Linked DNA regions of Caenorhabditis elegans. The protein of the gene in region 1 purifies or fractionates together with the protein of each later gene. This does not show direct contact. Each region holds a gene or a part of one and is shown in the gene's direction. Other genes may lie near its edges.

Region 1 (4,656 bases):
GGAAAAAATCTGAAAAAGGCAGAAATTGTTTTTAAATTTAATTTAAATTGTATCCGGAAAAAATCTGAAAACGTTGATTTTTTGAAAATAAAATCATTGAAGTTTTTTTTTCGATTTTCAAAAAAATTTATGGAAAAAAACTTTTTGAAATGTTAAAAAATCTATTTTCAAAATTTCAAAAAAAAACCAAAATTATGTTTTTAAAAATATAATTTTTTTGAAAGTCAAAAACACTGTTAAATTCTCGTTTTTTCAAGAAAACGTCTCTAGAATAGGAATTAATTTTCAAGAAAAAACTTTTTTTTAATACCTTTTTTTTTTTAAAGCGGAGTAACTATTATTATGCCAAAAAATATAAAAATTCTCATTTTTCGATATTTTCTTTTTGGAAAAATTATCTGAAACGTTTTAAAAATATTTTTTAACTAAAAAAAGCAACTGTATAGAATAGAAAATAATTTTCAAAAAAAAACATTATTTTTTTAGAAATACCAAAAAAAAATTCAAAATATGATTTTTTTTTTCAGAAAATTTTCAAAAAAAACTGAGTAACTATTTTTATTTCAAAAATCTAAAAATAATAATTTTTCGTTATTGCTATGCCGAAAAATCTATCTGAAAAGTTGAAAAAAAAACATTTCTGAAAATTGAAATTTTTTTATAGAAAAAAAGGTTTTTAAAAACCAAAAACTAAATATTTAGTCAAAACATTCATCTGCACAAAATCGAAAAATTCCAATTTTTTCCAGATCAAAACCCTCGCTGATCTCTTCTCATTGAACATCACCGCATCTCATCTCTCCGATTTCATTCCATCCACCTCTGCCGATTTCATCAAAGATCTGTCAACATTCAATTTCGGAAGAAAATAACACCGGTCATCACTAGACACATCAAATAATATTTACTCATACTGCATTCTGTTTTATAAATTTCATTCTTCAATTGATTTTTCCATTTTTTAATTTTTCAATTTTTCAAAATTTGTTTCATTGAACTTCAGAGGCTCCAAATGCTCCAAATGTCATACTTTTGTTATAGTTTGTAGTAGCTAGACACTTGGTTTACGTTATTTTAGTTCTAATTTCACATTAATTTATATTATCCAACTTCTAGATTCTCAAATTACCATCAAATGTTTATACTTTCTTCTGCACCATCCCAAAAATTTCGAAATTAATATGATAGCTTTCTCTAGTAAGGGTTTGATCTAGGGGTCAATTCTACAAAGTGATCATATTGCACCATATTTTCGGAACATTTTTTCTTCAAAAATATGAAAAATCACCTAATTTATCTGAAAATGACATTTATTTCAGTTGAAATAATTGGGAAAGTGCTCGATTTTCGGAACATTTTCACAAATATGCCAGCTGAAATAAATTTTATTTCAGATAAATCAAGTGATTTTCTATACTTTTTTAAATAACAAATGTTGTAACAACATGGTGCAATAGATCATTTTTTAGAATTGCCGTTTTGATCCCACTGGGCAAAGTGGTCAATGATAACTGACCACTTTGCACTGTTTAGTTGATGGCAACGTGATTATTATCAAAATTGGAAAAGGAAACAGAAACAATCGAATCAATTTTCACAGAGGCAGCCGCAGCAGCAAAATACAGTGAAAATAAAAATGAATTTGTTACAACGTGCGTTGGTGTTTACTGGAGGACATATCAGTCGATATCAGGCAGTGATAGCGGTCAATTCAGTTGGCAAGAACGCGCGATTCTACTCTACTACCGACGATAATATGGCTGCTCCCGAGGAAAGTGTCGTGGCGAAGGATGAGGTGAATTTTTTGGGTATTTCCAGTGTAAATTTGAATATTTCAGTCAGAAATTAGCCCTAGGGCATCCCAGTTCTTAAAAATTTGAAGCGATATTTTCGGTGAAAGAATTTGAATTTGTCAAAAGAAAAATTTCCAGTTAAAACAAATAAAAATTAGCCCAAATGAGAACATGCAATTAAAAAAATATTATCTACCCGCAAAAAGTTCAATTTTAACAAGAAAAAATACGGCCTTAGGTCCTGACGCGAGCGAGACTGTTCAGCTACCGTACCAGCAAATAGCAAAAAATTAAAAATTACAAAAAGGTACTGTAGCTCAATTTCGAGTGAAAAATCACAATTTTTTTCTATTTAAAAAATTCAAAAGCGCAATTTTTCAGATGAAACGCTTCATGGTGGAATGTATGACAAAAGTCGGAGCAACCGAATCCCACGCCACACAGCTCGCTCTCGTCCTTCTAGAAGGAGACATTCGAGGACATTACTCTCACGGGCTCAATAGATTAGGTACATGATTTTTAAAAACTCTCTCTCTCTCTAATAATATATAATTCCAGACATGTACGTCCGAGATATCGAACAAAACGTGTGCAAAGGAGACGGGGAGCCGATTATTCTGAAGGAAAAAGCCGGAACCGCGTGGGTCGATGGAAACAACCTTCTCGGGCCAGTCGTCGGAAATTTCTGTATGGATTTGGCAATTGAGAAGGCTAAGAATGCAGGAATCGGATGGGTTGTAGCGAAAGGATCCAATCACTACGGTATTGCTGGATGGTACGCGTTGCGAGCGATGAAGAAGGGAATGTTGGTGAGGGTTTTTTACTCCAAAAATATTAGAGGTCTCGACACGCAAAAGAGTGTGTGCCTTCAAAGAGTACTGTAACTTCAGCATCTTGATTTTGCGGAATTTTCTGTATTTTTTCGATAAAAAAACTACATACTTATCTATTTAAAAACTAAAATATCGCACATAAGATCTACTTTTAAAACGAGGGGTTTGAAACTACAGTAATCTTTAAAGGCGCACAGTTAGCAAAAATGTATCGTTTCAAGCAAAACTCGCAGAATTCTTGAGAAATATTCCAATAAAAAACTCAATTTTCAGGGAATGTCCATGACGAACACCTCGCCAATTTCCTTCCCGACCAGAAGCGCCGTCCCCGCACTCGGAACTAATCCAATCAGTTTAGCAGCTCCTGGAACTGGTGATGACTCTTTTGTACTTGATATGGCTTCAACAACAGTTGCTATTGGAAAGGTATTAATTGGAATTCTCAATTGGGGAAAAAGCGACGGGTGGGGAGTGTGGGGGAAATTGTTGAAACGAGTACAGCGGAACTCTGAAATAGTCTGCGAGAAAAACAGTAAAAGCCTAAAACGACTAGAGATCGGGCCAAATACGGAATAAACAGGAGGTTCACAGAAAAAAAGAGGGTACTGAATAGGGGGATGTTTAGACGTTTTTTTTAAATGTCAGCTGCACCACATCGATGTGATCGTGAGCAAAGAGAGCCGCACAGAGACAGAAGTAGAACTGCCATCTGCGATGGAAGCCGAATGGCAAGTTCATCTTTTCGATCTCATCCTTGGCTTTCATCCAGGCGCTGGAATTCAAAACTTGCTTAGGATTCAGGAAAGTAGGCACAAAATCCGCCTAGGCAGGCAGGTGAATATGTGTCTACCCCAATCTGAACTACACTACTTACAAGAACCAATGCTCCAAAGTCATCGAATAATGATGTCCCATACTGAATAGATCGGTCTGTTTCAAGGTCTTCGGGAGGGATTGCGAAATGGCACCGAGCGATGGCAGATGACCTCCAGGGAAGATGTACTTCTTAATGAAATCAGAAGACGAACGGTACTGATCGTAATAGGCGTCTGGACAAGTGATGGCCTGAAAATTGGAAAATTTGATGTGATGAATTGAGAAAGTCTAACACGTTTTCTCAAGTGTTTTCTTGCATCTCTACCTGAAGAGCGGCGATTCCACCATCGGTCAAAACATCGTTGATGATTTGGAAATATTGAGGAAGGTACTTCTCACCGACAGCTTCGATCATCTCGATTGACACGACGCGGGTGTACTTCTCCTTGACCAATCTGCAATATTTCAAATTTAAAAATTTAAAACAGAAAGCTTCTCACCGATAATCCTGGAACTTCAGCTCAATCCGTCCCTCAAGCCCTGCCTCCACCACCTTCTTCTGTCCCCACTCGAGTTGTTCTTTAGAGATTGTGATACCAGTCCACTTGCAGCCGGATCTCTGAACAGCACGAATTGCAGCAGCTCCCCAACCACACCCGATTTCCAGGACGTGATCGTCGGCCTTCAACTCGAGTTGATCGATGAGACGATCAATTTTCTTGTATTGAGCCTTCTCGAGCTCCACAAAGTCCACATCAGTGACTGGTTTGACTTCTGAAAATTGAAAATTGAAAATTTAATTTTTTTTAAATCTGTTACACTAACCATCAAAAAGAGCCGAAGAGTAGGTCATAGACTTATCCAGGAACAGCTTGAACATGTCATTTCCAAGATCGTAATGAGCCTGGATGTTCCGAGCACTCTGGGAGATTGTGTTCTCGAGAAGCCAATGCTGGACGTAGTTGACAACTTTCGCGATCTTCCGAACCCCATCGATGGAAAACTGAGTGAGGTGAGATCCGAACGACTTAGTTCTCGGCTTATCTCCGTACTGAGCCTTGTATGCCGCCTGAGTCTGCTTCTTACTGCGAATCAACAAACGAAGGAATTCGGTGGGATTTGGTGAGCACGACCAGTCGTCCGCCATGTACGTCTCGCCGAGTCCCATCTTCGGATCCAAAAGCATGAGCCAGCAGAAGTGAATGGGGTTGTGG
Region 2 (3,331 bases), on another chromosome or scaffold:
TTTGTTCTCCCAACTCGTCAGTCTTTTGGGCCCGTCAAAATCTTTTGGTCTTACTGGTACTGTATAGGTATATATTTAATTGTTCATTTTTGAAATGCTGCTTCGTGGTCCAAATAACCTGATACCTTGATATGGATATTTGAAATGAATGTTGCAAATTTAGAATAATTGAAAACCAACAACTATTATTTTTGTTTCAAAGTAAACTATTAATTTCACTGTATTGAATTTCTGTTTGTATATGAACACAATACAAATGCGATAATTTCAGAATTTAAATGAATAAAAAAAGTAAAATCAGAGGAAAAATGGTATCAAAGTCGGAAAACGCACTGATTTTTTATCAAAAAAATATCCTTATAGAAAAATGGAACAATTAAAATTGGTTTTTCCTGTTGTCTCACTTTTGAGTATATTTTCTAACGTTTTTCAAGTAAAACGGATTCAAATTAGAGTTAAAATCACAAAATTCATTTTCAGTGCGATTAAAATCCTGAATCGTTGTTGCGCAGTGTTTTGTTACCCATCCTACACTCTCCCTTTTTTGCCCGCACTCTCTCCACGCGCCTTTTCTTCAAAAATATTGCGCGTCAAATCTGTTATGTGATCTGCATTATGCGCAAACTGTGCAATCACTGCAAGAAAGAGGAAACCGGGAACATTTTTTTGAACGCGGGAACGGAACGGGGCGTGGCTTCCTTGGTCAGTATAAAAGGGAAGAAATCTGGGGCAACTGACATTGTTTTCCATTTTTCCTGCTTATTTTTTCCTTTTTTACGTTGCCGTGACCTCTCTCTCTCTCGCCTATCCTCTCCTTGGCACTCACTTTCCCGGTGCTCATGAATCAAATCATGTTCAAATTAGCTGGTAAAAATGCTGCTTGAAAATAAAATAAAACTAACAGTTCTAGAATGTAGATTGATATCTTACCCTTATCAGTAGACGTTTATAAAATGCGCTTAATTTCGCCTACTACAAACGCACCTCCTAAGTAACACTTTTGAAACACTGAAAATGATACAAATTTCCATTTAAAATTTCGTTATCTCCGAAATACGTCCACGGTGCATGCTTCGAACAATAAAATGTCATCATTTTTTGACCCACAGATTCTCTCTCATTCTCCCCTAACCTCCTGCGTATCATTTATATTTTGCTGGCAAACTATTGCATTTCGGGAACAAGATACACCATTGGTCTCTCTCAAACTGATTCCTACCGACAGCTGCTATCGCTTGATAAAGATGATTTTTTTTGAATATAAATACCGTGAGGCATAAGGTAGATTAAATCAGCGCCCTCAACCCTTTTTTGGAAATAACTTGAATAGTGTCAAGGTTTGTAAGATTTTCATCAGCCCTCCCTCCCCTCTTAGCATTCTCTATTTCTATTTCCGTCTGATCAAATATAGCACAATCGTCTGTTAGTTATCAAACTTTGGACAATTTTATTTGCCGATTTTCTTTTACTCTATACTTTATCACCTCGTTTTGTTCTCAAAAATTTCACATTTCTATTTTTTCAATTTTAGAATCTCCTCAACACTCGGTCCATCACCATGTCTTCCGCAACTGCTTCCATCAAGCTTTCCAACGGAGTTGAGATGCCGGTCATCGGTCTCGGAACCTGGCAGTCAAGCCCCGCCGAAGTCATCACCGCCGTGAAGACCGCCGTCAAAGCTGGCTACCGTCTCATCGATACCGCATCCGTATACCAAAACGAGGAAGCCATCGGAACTGCTATCAAGGAGCTTCTCGAGGAGGGAGTTGTCAAACGTGAGGAGCTGTTCATCACTACTAAGGTTTGCAAAAATAGCATCTTTATATTATTTTATACAAATCCGGTTTTACAGGCTTGGACTCACGAGTTGGCTCCGGGAAAACTGGAGGGTGGACTTCGCGAGTCCCTCAAGAAGCTTCAACTGGAGTACGTCGACTTGTACCTTGCTCACATGCCAGCTGCATTCAACGATGACATGAGCGAGCACATCGCTTCGCCAGTGGAGGACGTCTGGCGTCAGTTTGATGCAGTCTACAAGGCCGGACTTGCCAAGGCTGTCGGTGTCTCCAACTGGAACAACGATCAGATTTCTCGTGCTCTTGCTCTTGGATTGACACCAGTTCACAACTCCCAAGTCGAGCTTCATCTCTACTTCCCACAGCACGACCACGTCGATTTCTGCAAGAAGCACAATATCTCGGTCACTTCCTACGCCACTTTGGGAAGCCCAGGACGTGTCAACTTCACTCTTCCAACTGGACAGTAAGTTTAACAAGTAGCTTGTTCCTTTTCTCAACACCTATTTGCAGGAAATTGGACTGGGCTCCAGCTCCATCCGACCTTCAAGACCAAAATGTGTTGGCTTTGGCTGAGAAAACCCACAAGACTCCAGCCCAGGTGCTCCTCCGCTACGCTCTTGATCGTGGATGCGCAATCCTTCCAAAGTCGATCCAAGAAAATCGCATCAAGGAGAACTTCGAGGTGTTCGACTTCTCTCTCACTGAAGAGGACATTGCCAAGCTCGAGGAGAGCAAGAACTCGCAGCGTCTCTTTCTTCAAGATTTGTAAGTTTATAGGACAAAATGACTGAAACTTTAGTAACCCAACTCTTTTTCAGTATGACCGGACACCCCGAGGATGCCTTTGCTGCTGAGCGCAAGTAGATCACCGTCATCCACAACTGGTTCTTCGTTCATCATTTCAAAGTTCAATTTCCCATTCACATTCGTCACACGTTCTCTTTCCTTTTTGGCATGTATTTCTCAGCATGATTGCTTTATTTCAAAAATAAATACGTTGATCTAAATTTTGAACCCCAAAAAACATCACATAAGTCTGTCATCATCTTTGCCAGCCTGTCAGCCCTACCTTCCTTTTTTCCAGTCGAAAAAAAAACTCGAGTCTCCTACTCTGTGAGATAGTTTGGAAATCCCTAGCTCATCTGCGAGGTTTGGACAGAATTTTTCACAATTTGTGGCTCTTCGCTGTAGAGAATTATGCACAGCTACTTTGATGAGATGCATCCAATAGAGCCTGCAGTCGTTCAACATTATAAGAGCCACCAATTTTCAATTGTGGCGTCACCATATTTTGTCTAATTAAAGACGGCCCTGATTGTGAGACATATTCTGAGTTGTACCGTTTCCCTTCAAAAATAAGAATAAGCAATCAATTTGTTTGGCAAACTCATACTATTCGAGGGCTAATCGTAATATTCATTCGAATTTCTCAAGTTTAAGTTCTTAGAAGGTAAAAAACATAGCGATGAAATATTTTTACAACGCACAAACTTGTTTTCTTCTCAAAATTCTCATATTTTGAAATTTCCATG
Region 3 (3,879 bases), on another chromosome or scaffold:
ATTATTCTATAAAGAAAATTAACTTTGTTGAAAATTCTAAAATCTTATAAATACGGTTGATCAGTTACCATGTGTTTGTTACTATTTGTCAGACAGGTAAATTTTTTGAAAAACATAGCCACCAAAATAAAAACACGCAACAAAGTCTCACGTGGTCATTAAGCACCAAATTTGAAACTAGTCGCAGTAACATGGAAGGTTATCTTTCCAGTAAAACGTCATGCCACTAATGTTTGCTGCAGCTACGCAACTTGAATTCCATGTTCTTATCAGATAACACGTTGTATAGTCAAAAATCTAATGTGATGTCTGTATCATTGTGTTTGTCATGATCTTTTTGTATATTTTAAAAACCTATTTTCAACTTTTAATGTGATTTTTGTAATTCTTGAAAAAAGACGACCGTCAAGCATTATGAGGGACAAAAATTCATCTACGAAACATTTACTAAAAATTTAACGTTTAAAAAATTATTTATACTCCAAACTAGGTATTTTCCTTGTTTATCCGAGAAAAAAACTAATAAGTACGTAATCCAAATAAGCATTTGGCAAAATTGAAGATTTAATTAAACTGTCTGAAACGAGTAACTTATCGGAAACAGTCGTAAATTTCAAAAAACATTCAATTCTTTTAAACTGGGTGTCTTCATAAAGTTTGCAAAATATACGAACAACAGAGAAAATAAGGCAACAATCGGTGAATTCATAAAATAAATATATTATACTTTTTTTTGAAGTTTATGGTAAACTTTGATTATTTTCTATTATTATTTTCGATTGTTTCCCACTTTTTGTTATGCTCTGAATATTACAAGAAAAGTGAAATACATTTTGGTACGTGTGTATTTTATTTTGAAAGTATATTGAAGTTTCTACAAAGAATTTTTTTACATTTTATATTAAAAAGATTTGAAATATTTCATATGGTTTTTGAACATTTTTTGATGTACAGCAACCACATAAATTTCAATTTAGAAGTAAATTCTAACAATAAGAATACACGTTTTTACTATTGTCAAATACCTGAGTTCAATTTATTCTATTTTTTTCTCAAAATGATATTATCCTATTCCATTCTCCAATGGTATCCTTTAAATGAGTGTAATCTCTCACCCGCAGTTTTCCGGACAATTAATTGTACTGTCCTTCCCGAAGACCAGCGCCAATGATAAAAAGATGACGTCTTGTTCACGGGAAGACACGATACTGAATGGGTCATCTTTATATCCAGGGAAAAGATTTAGGTCAACAGCAGCAGCCCGTTTGTCCTTGTAAATCCGATCGGGCTGACGGCGCCCAACGGCACTACTCACAGATTTCTTCACGTTCAGTTCTCCCTGTTTTGTACTTTTTGGATTCTAGTCTCGTTTTGATGTCTTGTTTGATTTAAACCGTGTTTGATAACTAAGTAAATAGGTGTAGTTTATTTCAAGGCCTTTGAAAAAGTCAATCAATTTGCAATTTGAAAACCGCTTCGAACTTTTTAATCTTTTTAATCTATTCATTAACCTAAAAATTTCAACGCTTTCTTATTTCAGAAAATGTCTCTTCAAGAAAAGTTCGACGCTGCTGTGGAAATCATCCAGAAACTTCCAAAAACAGGTACGTTGGACTTTGATTCGCTACAATGCTACAAACTATGCTATGATGTAGTTGATTCAAAGCTAAATTTACAATTTTTCTAGGACCAGTTGCCACCAGCAATGATCAGAAGCTTACCTTTTACTCTTTGTTCAAACAGGCTTCTATCGGAGATGTGAACACCGATAGACCAGGAATTTTCTCCATCATCGAGAGAAAGAAGTGGTCAGTTTTTTTTTTCATTATTCCTTTGTCTGATTCGAAAAAGGGGAATTCTTTTTTTCTTATTTCATTGACAAATGAGTCATGACCGCGTGGCTAGCTAAACTGCATCAGAATTGCGTGAGTTATGTGTGTTGATTTTTTGACCGCAATATATATTAACTTATCGCTATGCAACAAATGTCGGCGTTGTGTCTGCAAACGATGCAATTATCATTTTCTTCGAATATGGTGCCACAAAAAACGAGTAGGAACGGATGATTGTGAAATTATCAATAAAAAGTTTTGAAGAAATGTAGAGTGTCGTTTCTGATCATTGGTCTCTTCAAAACCATAAACTATGTTTGAAATACCCCTTAAAAATAACACGAAGCCTGTATTAATGTTTTCACGTTTGTAGAAACATGGATTCAAAAAATAATTCCGTTCATGGGTACTTGTGTAGTTACTGTATCCCACAATGTATGCAATGGATAAAATTCCAAAATGACCACAACGTAAATAACCATTTTAATGCTCAATTCATTTTTAGGTTTAGATTTTTCCTAAGTCTAAAATTCAAAAAGAACTCATATTGTATTTTTGAAAAAAATTAAAAAGATTTTTTGGTGTACTGATATTACACAAGTACTCGTTCATGAATAAAAAGAACGAACCCATCAAACATATGTGTTGGTGGAACATTATTTCAATGCTGGCGATAGTGAAGGTTTTATTCTAAAAGGCAATAATACAAAAAAGGCAATTTAAATACAAGTATTATTTAAAATCAGAAAGTTTCAAAAGAACGAGTGATCGTATCTAATTATAACAGTCGTGATTTTGAAACATCCATAAAAAGGTAGTATATCTTGTAATGTTTTCTATTTATTTCATTGGCTGGCGCTAAAAAAAAAGTTGTAAAAGTGTGGAGTGCTAAGATCGCAATTCTAAACAGACTGCTGGTATAATTTTTCAAACACCGATTTTTAGTGCACTTTTAATAGTACACATTTCTAATAAAATGTACAATAGTAATTGAAAAAGTTAGATGGGTCAGTTCCAATAACTCAAAATAGTTTAACTACTTGTCTGAAAATGGTACGTTGCGACTATTGATGTTGAAGCCATGTAAAAATAACAATTAATTCCAACTGGCTCACAGTATTTACTGGCATTTTCCTGACCAACCCCAGTTAATCCGATTTCCAGGGACTCATGGAAAGAGCTCGAAGGAGTGTCTCAAGATGAAGCTAAAGAGCGTTATATCAAGGCTCTAAACGACATGTTTGACAAAATCGCCGAGGTATGTGAATGGGTCTTGTCGGCAAACGTTTGAAGTTTTTGTAGCAGAAACTAGTAGTTACGTTCAGAATTACTTTGTTTTCAGGAACTTGATGTTGCCGCTTGGCTTGAACAAATTGACCCAGTCATCAAAACCAACCTCGCTCTCATTGGAAAGTAAATCTTAATTATCATAAACATTTTTTTTTCAAATTTCGAACAATATAATTATTTGTATTGCTTCTTGATACTAAATAAATATGAATTAATTTTGTAAATTGAATAACTCTATAGTTTTACTGTACATTGGAAGAATCTTGCATGAAAATGAAAACTATGAATTGCATTTGTAATAGTGAAATTTGAACATTGTATGTATACATAATTTTTATTGCAGTAGAGTTGAAACTGTGAATAAATTTTAAATCCACAATATAAAATAAAAATGAAAATCAGACGAGCACCCGAGAAGGAAATTAAATGAATTCGGAATACATAAGAGATCAACATAATGTTTGTGTGTAAGAGATAGTTCAATAGAAAGCACGAGGTTAAACATTTCAGATAAAACATTGCAAAGGTTATAAGCGTTCCTTTTTATCCATTTCCTCTCTCTTCTTGTCTTCCTGGTATGCAAAAAACTGAAAAGTGCGGTAGACAACATGCAAAAATATGCAATTTATGACTATAACAAACGACATGGCAGCCATCACACCCAGTGTGACCAGGATTGCAGCTGAAAAATTTTGAAGTATAAATATTCACAAGTAGTATAATCGTTCTCACTGGTAACACTTTCTCTTGATCGGAA

What was found. Proteins that work in one complex are often made in the same cells at the same time.
Region 2: the proteins of VF13D12L.3 (region 1) and C07D8.6 fractionate together in Caenorhabditis elegans (co-fractionation; one large-scale study listed by BioGRID). This does not show direct contact.
Region 3: the proteins of VF13D12L.3 (region 1) and acbp-3 fractionate together in Caenorhabditis elegans (co-fractionation; one large-scale study listed by BioGRID). This does not show direct contact.

What each region holds. Positions count from the first base shown.
Region 1 is NC_003280.10:11,704,409-11,709,064, forward strand, and holds the start of VF13D12L.3 (Malate dehydrogenase), read left to right. Parts: upstream 1-1,600; 5' UTR 1,601-1,636; coding exon 1,637-1,795; intron 1,796-2,174; coding exon 2,175-2,301; intron 2,302-2,351; coding exon 2,352-2,602; intron 2,603-2,899; coding exon 2,900-3,052; exon of another isoform or gene 3,053-3,247; coding exon of another isoform or gene 3,248-3,398; intron 3,399-3,500; coding exon of another isoform or gene 3,501-3,691; intron 3,692-3,767; coding exon of another isoform or gene 3,768-3,897; intron 3,898-3,942; coding exon of another isoform or gene 3,943-4,216; intron 4,217-4,267; coding exon of another isoform or gene 4,268-4,656. Other genes in the region: xpf-1 (DNA repair endonuclease XPF), read left to right, coding at 750-872; fcmt-1 (Cyclopropane-fatty-acyl-phospholipid synthase), read right to left, coding at 3,248-3,398, 3,501-3,691, 3,768-3,897, 3,943-4,216, 4,268-4,656.
Region 2 is NC_003284.9:7,339,978-7,343,308, forward strand, and holds C07D8.6 (NADP-dependent oxidoreductase domain-containing protein), read left to right. Parts: upstream 1-1,531; 5' UTR 1,532-1,558; coding exon 1,559-1,801; intron 1,802-1,852; coding exon 1,853-2,262; intron 2,263-2,309; coding exon 2,310-2,564; intron 2,565-2,617; coding exon 2,618-2,663; 3' UTR 2,664-2,803; downstream 2,804-3,331.
Region 3 is NC_003284.9:10,901,738-10,905,616, forward strand, and holds acbp-3 (Acyl-CoA-binding protein homolog 3), read left to right. Parts: upstream 1-1,534; 5' UTR 1,535-1,543; coding exon 1,544-1,604; intron 1,605-1,687; coding exon 1,688-1,808; intron 1,809-2,996; coding exon 2,997-3,090; intron 3,091-3,174; coding exon 3,175-3,249; 3' UTR 3,250-3,351; downstream 3,352-3,879. Other genes in the region: F47B10.8 (MARVEL domain-containing protein), read right to left, coding at 3,650-3,804, 3,855-3,879. UniProt on the Caenorhabditis elegans protein: Binds medium- and long-chain acyl-CoA esters with very high affinity and may function as an intracellular carrier of acyl-CoA esters.